Linked DNA regions of Mus musculus: all the other regions are reported to be linked to region 2. The links are microRNA targets in miRTarBase. Many come from high-throughput screens and were not tested one by one. Region 2 holds a microRNA gene; each other region holds the end of a gene's coding sequence.
What was found. Region 2 holds the annotated microRNA mmu-miR-297c-5p (AUGUAUGUGUGCAUGUACAUGU, at 1,904-1,925, opposite strand). A microRNA usually pairs through its seed, bases 2 to 8, with sites in the 3' UTR of a target mRNA and lowers its output. Matches are read on the target gene's strand: a 7mer-m8 pairs with bases 2 to 8, a 7mer-A1 pairs with bases 2 to 7 and ends in A, and an 8mer does both.

Region 1: miRTarBase lists Lin7a as a target of mmu-miR-297c-5p. The part of its 3' UTR that is shown has no 7-base or 8-base seed match.
Region 3: the mRNA of Acmsd is a reported target of mmu-miR-297c-5p. Seed matches in the 3' UTR shown: 7mer-m8 at 1,753-1,759.

The regions. Positions count from the first base shown.
Region 1 is chr10:107,411,309-107,415,559 of GRCm38, forward strand. Lin7a (lin-7 homolog A (C. elegans)) reads left to right here. Exons shown (of 6, transcript NM_001039354.1): 5 at 645-863. The coding sequence ends at 863. Among named protein-coding and RNA genes, the nearest start is that of Myf5, 73 kb to the right of the region's middle.
Region 2 is chr2:10,506,700-10,510,950 of GRCm38, reverse strand. Mir297c (microRNA 297c) reads right to left here and starts at 1,935; the gene lies at 1,838-1,935. The region is part of intron 10 of Sfmbt2 (Scm-like with four mbt domains 2); the gene reads right to left. It overlaps Mir467d (microRNA 467d), which reads right to left and starts at 3,321; the gene lies at 3,237-3,321. Mir466 (microRNA 466) reads right to left here and starts at 3,033; the gene lies at 2,961-3,033. It also overlaps Mir669c and Mir669a-2.
Region 3 is chr1:127,765,629-127,769,879 of GRCm38, forward strand. Acmsd (amino carboxymuconate semialdehyde decarboxylase) reads left to right here. Exons shown (of 10, transcript NM_001033041.2): 9 at 252-350; 10 at 655-1,936. The coding sequence ends at 717. All of the region lies in intron 1 of 2900009J06Rik (RIKEN cDNA 2900009J06 gene), which reads right to left. Among named protein-coding and RNA genes, the nearest start is that of 2900009J06Rik, 6.3 kb to the right of the region's middle.

The DNA.
Region 1 (4,251 bases), not on the chromosome of region 2:
CCCCCTAACTCAAGCCATCTAATCCCCCCTGTGTCCTAATATGGCCTAACCACCCTGAAGTTCAGTTATGAACATAAATAATAATGATGATGATATTGTCTTATTTACCATGTCTTCTAGAAGTTGCAGACTTTGGATTCTTCATCTGTAGTTTATAGAGTTTAGTTGTTGGAAGGGATTTCTGGTTATTTCTATGATGATGATGATGATGATGATGTTTGAGACACAATCTCCCGTATCCTAGGTTGACCTTGAACTTGCTATATAGCCATATATATGACTTAAGCACCTTATGTTCCTGCCTCATGATTAGCATCTGCCACCAAGGTTGCATGTGGTATTGAACACAGAACCTAGGGCAGCTTTCATGTTAGGCAAGCACCCTACAAACTGGCATACAACACCAGACCCTTGATTTTGACTTTTTTTTTTAAATACAGTTTTCACATCGTATGTTAGGCTGACCTGAAGCCTACAGTGCACCCCAGGCTGACTTCGAACTCTCAGCCACTCTCCTATTTCAGTCTTATAAGTATTGGAATTTATGGACAAAAGCGTCAGAGGTTTGGGTTTTTACTAGGATAACAATCCTAGATTAGTCCCTGGAGGAAACAAATGAGTGAACTCTCTCCATGTCTTCTCAGAGTGTGGAAGGGGAGCACCATGAGAAAGCTGTGGAACTTCTCAAGGCTGCTAAGGACAGTGTGAAGCTGGTGGTCAGATACACCCCAAAAGTCCTGGAAGAGATGGAGGCTCGTTTCGAGAAGCTGCGGACAGCTCGGCGTCGACAGCAGCAGCAGTTGCTCATTCAGCAGCAGCAACAGCAGCAGCAACAACAACCACAACAAAACCACATGTCATAGGTGAGACTCACCCTCCTCCTCCCCGTGTACACGCTCCTGACATCCTAACGGTCGCCCTAGTCAGCCAACATAAAATTGCCAAGCATAGTAAACACCCAAGGACAATTAACCGAAAGAAAGATGATGATATTCGAAAAAGTAAACAGGTTGTCCTGTTTCCATGAGTCATTCAGCTACAGTCTCCGCATATGGAAGATAATTTTGGAAAATATAATGCTATGGGAGAGGTACCTGCTAACTCCAGGATGCCTGTTTATAAACTATGATAATGCTATTTTTTTTTTGCCAGATCTATACATGAATGGCAAGGTGATTCTAGTCCCCACTCATCCCCTTAGCTAGTCGTCACTTTCACGGAGTATACAAACTGCGCTACTCTATGGTGCTATTCCTGGCTACTTTAGATTAGAAAGATGCAGTGGATTAAGAAGTTGTTGCACATGAAGAGTGCGATGGCAAAGCAAACAGTTAACACAGCGTGAGACACTGAAGGGTTGGAATTCTATCTGACTCTCCTACCTTCTCCCAAATCCCACTGCACAACACAGTGACATACATATCCAGTTTTGTGGATATTTTCAAGAAAACTGAAGAAAAATGTGTTAATATCAAAAGTCCCCCCCCCCCCGAAGTGCCTACTATGTGTCAGTGACACCCTCATCACATAACGCTTCATCCTCTGAAGAACGTTTCAAGAAATTTACCATTAAAGACACATCTCTGGGATGAGCAGTCTAAAGCTTCCTTCAGCCACCATTGACATGTGGCTTGGAATCAGGGTTCTCCTCCTGCCACTCTCAGATCCTCTGAAGTCATTTTTATATGTTTGCCAAACTATTCATTGGAAAAGATCAATTCGATCAGAATGCATTTGTGTACCAGGATGTCTTTAAGTGTGTCTTGGGAAGGACATTCACACGTTCTTGGGAAAGTGGCAACAGATGTTGGGTGGTTTTCAGTTTTCCTTACTGAAAACTTACTGTTTGCTTAGCAGAAATAGTGATCATGACATGAGACATGCTTCTTTTTTAATGACACTTGTGGAAAAAGAAAAGCTATATAGTGCGTGTTTTTGGTTGTTGGTCTTTCTTTTGTTTTTATGTATATTTGGGGACTGGAGAGATGGCTCAGTAGGTAAGAGCACTTAATGCTTTTCCAGTGGACCTGGGTTTGGTTCCCAAAACTCACACCAGAGAGCTCACAACCACCTGTAATTCTAACTCCAGGAGTTATGATGCCCTCTTCTGGCTTTTGTTGGTACATCACACACATAGTACACATGAGCATTAGACACATGTAGATGTACACACACTCACACAACACACACAATACATAGGAAGATAGATAGGTAAGAGAGAGAGAGAGAGAGAGAGAGAGAGAGAGAGAGAGAGAGAGAATGAGAAAATACATATACATACATATATTTTTTTTAATTATATTCCGTCCCCAAAAGTATATTAACCCAACATCAGATGTCTTTGTCCTTTGGCAGAGCTGCATCCAGGTACTGTCCAGGAGCTCCAGGGGTAACCTTCTCTTCATGAGGCTACATTCTGCTAGGAGGGGATAATTAATAAATAAGCAAGAAAATAAGCCAACGGCCTTTTGAGAGCAGGACTTTAAAAAATTAAAACAAGGCTGTTTGAATGGAGACTACCTTAGACACAGTTGTCGGTGAACACCCCTCTCAAAGGACATAGCATCTGAGAGGAAGCCGAGTAGGAGAAGCACCCAAAGAAATAATAAGAGAAAATAGCCAGTATGGTAGCATATGAGCTCTTTGATATTTGAACAACTAACAGATAGCCTAGAGAGCTGAGAATAATGAGTAATAATGATAGTGGTGGATTATGAAGTCAAAAGGACAAGTAGGGACTGGGTACAGAAAGCCTAGCAACACTAAGAGAAATTAATGTTTTTGTAATGGAGGACAAGATTTTTAAGCCAAAGGGTGGCATGATTTGATTTATGTGCCATTAAGATAATTTGGCTTCCTGTTTTTGTGACCCTTGTCTTCCTACTGGATTCCATGTCCAGTTTCAACACAAGTGGTAGTTTGGGGGAGGGGGATCATTGCCTAATCTTACTGCAGCTTAATTTGCCATGTTTAGTTGATATCCCTGGGAGGCCTGTCATTTTCTGAGGGGGAAAAGGAGAAAGAACAGATTGGGAAAAGAGATGGGGGTGATAGAGGAGGTGGGAGGACAGATGAAGGGAGGGGGACTGTGGTCAGGACATAATATATGAGAGAATAAATTAAATTAAAAGAATAATTTGGCTTCTGTGACAATGGAGAATTACAGGGTCATAAATGAAATAGAGAGAGATGGAATGGCTTAGAATAGAATGATGAGGTTGGGACAGACACCATTAATAGATACCATTAATAGGCAAGTCATTTAGCCTAAAGCCTTCTCCTTAGTTACCTATTCTGTACCACAAGCATCCTAACAAAAGTCCTCTGGATAATAGGGGAAATCTCTGATGTATCCCTAATATTCTTTCTGCTAGTACTATTGTTTATTCCATCCCTGGTAATGCAAGCTATTCATCCCTCTTCTCCAGAATTATTTATGACATTAGCCCTGAGTAAATGTGCTCAGGGGTAGTTTGAAAGCAACAGGTTGATCTCTTAGACCTCACTGAAAACTGCCATGTTTTACTCCTCCCATTATCTTTGGAAATACACAATTTGGTCATATGTAGCCTTTTGTATTTCTATTCCCTGTTCAGTCTTCATTAAGTCACCTCAGGATTTCCTATGGCCCATTACCAAGACTTACATATTTAATCAGAAAAAAAACCTGTCCTATCTTGTTGTGTACGTAGGATGTGGTAGAGTTATGTTCGCTTGAACATGACCTTTGTATCTATGCCCATCAAGAGAGCTACTGTACAGCACAGTGCCTACCCCCTTGAGATTAAATGGTAATGATCATGTGAAGAACAATCAAGACTTACCAAAGGCATGTCACCCATGGATTTTATGGTGAATTCAGTCAAAAGGACCTACATTAGCTCTTGCTTAATTTTTTATTAACTTGATCTTTAGAGGGTCAAAAAAGACTTACAACACTTAATAATTTATACTAGTTGGTTTTTTATATTTTTTTCAGGCTTACCAAATCTATTCAACTGGAAACAAATCTTGAATTTTTTTTGGTCTACATTCAAAGACCACATAATCAAAATACTTGTCAGAAGACCATCTCACTATGTATCAAATGAAATAGAACATGTAATGCTTTCAAAATAAGAAGTAGTATGTGCTGAGAATATAGATATTATGAAGTCACTACAAGCGGGAAGCAGATAAAAAAGAAAACCATATTGAATGTAAGCCATACAGGAGAGAATTGTCTTTTTATACCTTCTTGAGTTTTAAATT
Region 2 (4,251 bases):
TCTCTAAAACTCTAAGTCACCTATCATTCAGATGGATCGATGAGTGTCATTCCTGTGTCTCTGTGTGTGTGTGTGCTTGTGTTTATATGTATGTGCATGTTATGTCTATTCATATACACACATGCACATGTACACAAAACTATACACCCATGCACATACATGGGTGGCAATCACATGAATCACAGGCAGATATCTATATCCTCCTGAAGATAAGCATGAATTTGAACTCCTGATACTCCTGATTCTAGCAAGCATTTTTACCTAGAAAATGACAGCACTCACTGGCCCAGTACTGAATAATTTCTAATATTCTAGGTGGCATATCATATAAATGGATCTATGAATGTTATTCGTGTGTGTGTGTGTGTGTGTGTGTGTGTGTGTGTGTGTGTGTGTGTGCACGCTAGGGTTTATATGTCTATGTATATGTTATGTATATCCATATAGACACATGAACATACACACACAACTATACAAACCTGCATGTACACTTAAGGCATCACATGAATCACAGGCTTATCTCTAAATCATGCTGAAGATAAGCATAAATTTGAACTTCTGATACTCCTAACTATAGTAAGCATTTTCACCTAGAGAATGAGAGCACTCACTTGCCCCATACTGAATAATCTCTACTACTCTGAGTGGCATATCATTTAAATGGGTCAATGAATGCCATTCCTGTGTCTGTGTGTGTGCTTGCGTTTATACGTGTGTGTGTATGTTATGTATATTCAAATATAGACATGAACATGCACACACAACTATACACACATGCACATACATGGAGGAATCTCAGGCTGATCTCTCATGAGGATAAGCATGAATTTAAACTCCTGATACTCTTAACTCTAGCAAGCATTTTCACCTAGAGAATAAGAGCACTCACTGGCCAAGTACTGCATAATCTCTAATATGCTAAGTGACATATCATTCAAAGGGATCGATGAAAGCCATTCTTGTGTCTCTATGTGTGTGTGCTTGCGTTTATACGTGTATGTTATGTATATGCAAATACATGCATGAACATGCACACACAACTATATACACATGCACAATCATGGGGCCATCACATGAATCACAGGCTGATCTCTAAATCCTCATGAAGGTCAGTATGTGTTTTAACTCCTGAATACTCTTAACTCTAGCAAGCATTTTCACCTAGAGACTGAGAGCACTCACTGGCCAAGTACTGCATAATCTCTAATACTCTAAGTGACACATCATTCCAATGGATTGATGAGTGGCATTGGTGTGAGTGTGTGTGTGTGTGTGTGTGTGTGTGTGTACTTGCATTAGTGTGTGTATGTTATGTATATTCAAATACAGACATGCACACACAACTATACTCACATGCACACACATGGGCGATATCACATGAATACCAGGATGCTATCTAGCTGAACATAGGAGTGAATTGGAACTCCAGATCCTCTTGACTCTTTCAATCGTTTACAACTGGTGAGTGAGACAATTCACCGTCTCTACTTCAAAATCTCTAAAACTCTAAATCACTTATCATTCCAATGGATCGATGAATGGCATTCCTGTGTCTGTTTGTGCACTTGTGTTTACTTGTGTGTGTGTGTGTATGTTATTTATATGCAAATACACACATCCACACACAACTATACACACATGCACATACATGGAGGCATCACATGAATGCCAGGCTGATCTCTAACTCATCATGCCGTTAACATGAATGTGCACTCCTGATCACCCTGAATCTAGCAAGTCTTCTCCTGGTGACTGAGACCTCTCTCTGTCAGCCCCAGTCATACAGAATCTCTAAGACTCTAAGTCACTAATTATTCAAATAGATGGATGAGTGCCAATTTTTGTGTGTTTGTATGCATGTTTGTATGGGTATGTGTGTATGTATATGTATATTCATATACACACATGTACATGCACACATACATATACACACAGGCATATATACTAGGGTCATCACAAGACTCCGAAGCTGATCACGAACTCATCATGAAGTTCAGCATGAATTTTGATTCCTGGTCATCCAAAGTCTGGCAAGCAAGCATTTTCACCTTGTGAGTGAGAGCACTCACTGGCCCAGCCCTGCATAATCTCTAAAGCTCTGAGTCACCTGTCATTCAAAAGGATCAATGAGTGACATTCCTCTGTGTGTGTGCGCGTGTGTGTGTGTGTGTGTGTGCGTGCCTGTGTGTTTATGTTTGTCTGTATGTAGATGTATATTTGTATACACACATGTACATATACACAAAACTATACACACATGCACATATATGGGGGGAGGATGCCATGAGGCCAGGCTGATCCCTAGGTCATTTTGAAGTTATTCAGGAATTTGAACTGCTGATCCAAAAGGCAAGCGTTTTACCTGGTAAGTTAACTGAGACATAGCTCTGGCCATTCCTGTGAGTGAGTGTGTGTGCATGCGTGTATATGCATATTCATATAGAGAAGTGTATGTGCACAAAGCTATACACACATGCACATTCTTTATGGTCATCACATGAATAGCATGCTGATCTCTAACTCATCATGAAGTTAAACATGAATTTGAACTCTTGATCCACCTGACTCTGTGGTGTGAGACCTCTCCCTATTGAGTACTGCAGAATCTCTAAAACTCTAAGTCACATATCATTCAAATGGACTGAGGAGTGGCATGCGTGTGTGTGTCTGTGTCTGTGGATGGGTCTATGTGTGTGTAGGTATGTATATTCATATACACAATCCACACACAGTTACACACATATACACATACATGGGGACATCACATGATTCCCAGGCAGATCTCTAAGTCATCATGAAATAAAGCATGAATTTGAACTCCTGACCTCCTGATTCTAACAAGCATTTTTAACATGATGGGTGATAACTCTCCCTGACCTAGTCACACATAATCTCCAAAGCTCACAGTCACATAGATCAATGAGTGAGTGCCATTCCTGTGTGCCTGTGTGCTCATATGTGTCTTATGTGTGCGTGTATGTATATGGATATCATATTCACATATGTACATGTACACACACATAAACACATATACACATACATAGGGGCAATCACATGAATGCCAGGATGACCTCTAACTCATCATGCCTTTACCATGAACTTGCACTCCTGATCTTCCCGACTCTACCAAGGGTTTTCCCGTGGTTTGTGAGACCTCACCCTGGCCCAGTCATACATAACCTCCAAAGCAGTAGGTCACATATCATTCAAATGGATCCGTGAGGGCCATTCCCGCATGTCTGTGTGCATGTGTGTGTAGGTGTGTGTATGTATATGCATAAAATATACACGCATATACATGCGCGCACTTATGCACACAGGCACATACATAGGGGCCATCACATTATTCCAGGATGATCTCTAACTGCTCATGAAGTTAAGCATGAAATTGAACTCCTGATCCTCCTGACAATGCCAATTGTTTACACCTTGTGAGTGAGACCATTCACTGTCCTTCTACTGCATAATCAGTAACATTCTAAGACATATATCATTCAAATGGATCGATGAATGCCATACCTTGGTGTGTGTGTGCTTGCTTTTATACGTGTGTGTGTGTGTGTGTGTGTTATGTATAATCATATACACACATGTACATGCACACAAAATTATGTGTGCATGTACATACCTAGGGTCCATCACACGAATCCAGGATGATCACTAACTGATCATTAAGTTAAGCATGATTCTGAACTCCAAGACTTCTGATTCTGGCAAGCGGTTTTCATCTAGTTGGCGAGATATTTCACTGTACCATAAATATACACTCTATGAAATTCTAAGCACATATAAAACTTATGGATGACTGCCATGTGTTTCTGTATGCATGCATGTGTGAATATGTGTCAATATATGTCTTTTCATATATCCGCATGTACAGACAAACTTATCTATACACATACACAGAAACAATCACATGAATAACAGGCTGATCTGTAACTCATCAGGAAGTTAAACATGAATTTGAACTCTGGGACCTCCTGACGCTGGCAAGAGCATCCACCTCCTAACTGAGACATAGCTCTGGCCCAGCACTGCATAAGCTCTAAAGCTCTGAGTCACATACCATTCCAAAGGATATATGAGTGCCATTCCTGTGTCTGCATGTGTGTATATGCATATTCACATAGAGAAGTGAATATGCACACAACTACACACACATGCACATTTTGGTGTGCATCAATGAAACACATGCTGATCTCTAATGCATCATGAAGTTAAACATAAACTTGAACACCATATTCTCCTGAC
Region 3 (4,251 bases), not on the chromosome of region 2:
GCCAGACTAGCCCTAGATTTGCAATTTTTAGAAGACCTAATAGTGACACCTGCTGGAACAAGAAGATAGCAAAAGGGAAACTGACCCTTGAAATCTTTACAATTGTAGACCAGCTCTGTTTCTAGTAAAATGAGGGGGGTAGGGGGAAATGTTGTTTTACTAGACTAGTGTATATGGTAGGTAAATTAAGTGTATGGAAGGCTCTTTAATGTTTTCACATTCACAAATAAAATGGTATTTTCTCCTTTTAGGATAAAGTCATGCTGGGAACTGATTACCCCTTTCCTCTGGGCGAGCAGGAGCCTGGGAAGCTGATAGAGTCCATGGCAGAGTTTGATGAAGAAACAAAGGTACGTGCCTTGGCTCCAGCCAGCCCATCCTGAGCTGAACACACACTTGATTTTCCTAAAACTATGACTCCACTTTCTGAAATAGCTAGACTATTAAAAGCAAACGCTATAATATCTTAAAATAAGTGCAATATAACTAGATGTATAAATCCTCTGTCCTCACAAGTGTATGTGCACACTGCATGTTCATAAACACACACTAAATGTAAAAAAAAATCAATGATGATATCTAATAAGTGCTTTATCAAGCCAATCATGCTTTTAAATAAAGTCTCCCCACCCCCCTCTCTCTCTTTCTTTTCAGGATAAACTTACAGCTGGCAATGCCTTGGCTTTTTTGGGTCTTGAGAGAAAACTATTTGAATGACAGAATTAAGCACACACAAAAAAACTTTCGAGAAGCTACGTCACTTCTGTTTTTGAACATGAGCTATACACACATCTATTTTGAATTATGTTACCCCAAAAATGGAATATCCCCCTCAGGATGAAGCAAGAGGATCAGCAATTCAAGTTCCAGACCAGTCTGGGCTACTTGAGACTGTCTAAAACAAGGGTGGGGGTAATATTTTCAATATTCTAACTTATTAATAACAAAATGTTTTATAAGGTCTTTATTCTGAAATGTAATATTCTGAGAAGTGTATATTACTACATAGCAAATCAAAACCATTTGATTTGAAAGAGATAAAAAATTAATATATAATTAATGATTTAAATAGAAAAATCCAATACCAGCTTTATTCTAGAAGGCTCGGGGTCTCTATGTTGACTGAAGATATGGGAAATGTACCCAAATAATAAGGTTTTTTCCAGTTGTAACCCTTTCTGCTAGCCTAGTCATTCAATGGGAATGTTTTTATCTTTGTAAAGTACACATAGGCTATGCACAAGCTCAAATGTTCTAAAAGCCAGTTAAGAAAGCAAGGTAAATGCTTATGGAATAAATGCTGACCCAACACAAAATGGTTTTGATTTGCATATGTAGTAATGTACTACAAACTCATTTTAGCCTCCCACAGTTGGATAGATCTTAGAATTTGACCTGAGTCTGGAAGGATGGATGAACATTTCTTTAAAAAGTAAAAAGATGTTGGTCGGGCATCACGGTACATGCCTCTTACATCAGCACTCAGGAGGCAGAGACAGGCAATGGGTCTGTGTTTGAGGCCAGCTTGGTCTGCATAGCAAGCTCTAGGATAGCCAGCCAGTGATACACAGTGAAACCTTGCCTCAAAAAGAAATAGGTAGGCTTGGAGAGATGGCTCAGCAATTAAGAACACTGATTGCTCTTCCAGAGGTCCTGAGTTCAATTCCCAGCAACCACATGGTGGCTCACAACCATTTGTAATGGGATCTGATGTCCTCTTCTGGTGTCACTGAAGAAAGTGACAGTGTACTCACATACATAAAATAAATAATGTTTCTTTTAAAAAATAAATATGTAAACAGAAGATGGGAGCTGGACCAGAAGAGAAGAAGTTTGAAACCACAGGTGTGACTTAAGAGCGGATGAAACTTTTCTAAAAGGAATGTCATCTATACGTTTCCCTTTAGCAGAGCAGGAGGCAGAGTTAACTCTGGGGAGGGAGGAACACCATGACACCCTTGTTCTAGGCCCTTACTGCTCCACCTGAGTAGCTGTAAAGGAACTTGGGCATGGGGTGGGGTGGCAGGCAGCATCTCTCCTCCACATGCCTATGGCTGCATCAAATAATCCTTCCATAGCACACGCTTAACTTTGGACTCACGCATAACTCCCTTCCTTTCCATTCTAGTACAAAGCCAGGCTCCCTATTAACAGGTGACTGGAGCTGCCTCGATGACAGAGAAAGAAGAGAGCTAACTAATACCCATGACCCCATTCTGCTCTTCTCCCCATCCATGTCTCAATGCTCCATCTCCTTCCTGATCTCTTGTTTTCTAGAATTTTCACCAACTATGACTCTACTTACTAGTCTAATCTGTCTTGAAAGAAAAATAAAGTTGAACAAAACAACACTTGGAAGCATGTGTTACTATTTTTCTCCTTCCCCAAACCTTTGAAAGAAATCTCTACTCCTTTTCAATATTTCCTATTGGAGCTCTATACACATAATACCCGTATTACTTACTTTTGCCTTACTGTACTAAAAAAGACCACACACAAGGTTGAACGGATGTTTCAGTCCATTATGTTGGGGAGGCCTGGCAGAGACGAACTGCTCACAACACTACAGAAAGGAAGCGGGGAGGGAAAGAATGCCTGTGGTTGTGGGCTTTCTCCTTTTTTCAATCTGGAACTCAGCTCATGTGACGGTGTCACTCACATACAAGGAAGGCCATCATCTCTTAGTTACCTTTGGGGTTTTTGTTTTGTTTTGTTTTGTTTTGTTTTCGAGACAGGGTTTCTCTGTGCAGTCTTGGAACTCACTCTGTAGACCAGGCTGGCCTCAAACTCAGAAATCTGCCTGCCTCTGCCTCCCAAGTGCTGGGATTACAGGCATGCACCACCACTGCCTGGTTTTAGTTATCTTTGGAAGAGTCTTCACAGACACACCTAGAATAACCATCACAAGTCCATTCCTTGTCAACATGATATTCCCACACATCTTACACCATAAGATTCAATCCCTCCCACCCAGTGCTCCAAAGCTCTAATACAGTTTCTCTAGAGGCTGGGGCAAACACTTATTTATTAATAAATTAGCTATTTATTTATTTATTAGCTCTGCTAATATCACATTATATAGTCCCATGATACAATAACATAAACATTCCTATTCCCAAAGAATTCAGGAAGGATTACTGAAAGCTTCTAGTATCTTAGCCTGACCTTGAACTGAACGCTTAATGTAGCCAAGTGTGTCCTTGAGCTTCTGGTTTCTCTGTTAAACCTGAAATTTTCAAGTAGACCGAATCCACGATTGTCCAATTAAAGTAAACTTTACTTAATACTGTCCAGGAAGATGGACACTGGCTAGGTCCATACCTGGGATTTCCAAAGAATGGCACGGAATTAGGTCAGTCAGATGCCTATAAAGGTCAAACCCAAAGCAAAGTACTTTCTTCCTTTGTCCAATCAAGAACCAGCACACATCCTGCCTACGTTTGATCAAGTACGTCCTGTGCATTTGGGGTAACCAATCACATTTATTGAAGTGAAAATCTATGACATGCATATATATATGAGAACAACAGCCCCCAGAATTTCAGGAAGTTATCTGTCCTTGGGCAGGTGGGGCTTATAGGTTAACTTTAGCCCTTATACCTTCTGTCCACCCCACGGCCCACCAGTGCTAGGATTATAGGCTGTACCTCCATACACAATTTGTTTTTATGCAGTGCTGGAGCTAGAACCAGGCCTTCAATGCTTCCTCAATGCACTATCTCCCAACAAAGCACCAGCACCCCACGCCCCGGAGCTCTTTTTAAGAGCCTAATGTCTTCAAACATCTTGCATTCTTTACCTTTAACTTTAAACATGCTTTTTTTCTAGCCAAATTGCTTTTCAGGTCATTCCTCTGCTCTTTTGCTCCCAGTTCTCCCTATAAAACTAGTTTAAAGCAGCCAGGGGTGCCTTTTCCACAGCTGGAATAATGGACTGCCTTGAATTCTCCTGCTCCAGATTACCTAGTCAATAACCAATAAACCTAGCTTCCCATAGTCTTGGGCACGGACAGAATGTAAGCAACAGAACACAAATGGCCTCTAGTCGGGTTCTTACTAGAAACCTTGTTCCCATCTAAAGGCTCATCGGCTCTCTGCCAGAGGTTCTGTCTGCATAATTCTGGAGTTCTACAGCTAGCTTCTCTACATCTTCCTACAAGTCAGTTCTTCCTAATTACAGTCAGCTATAATTCCACTCTCCCCCACACCAACTTTCTCTACCAGTTACTCTTTCACCACTGTAATCAAATAC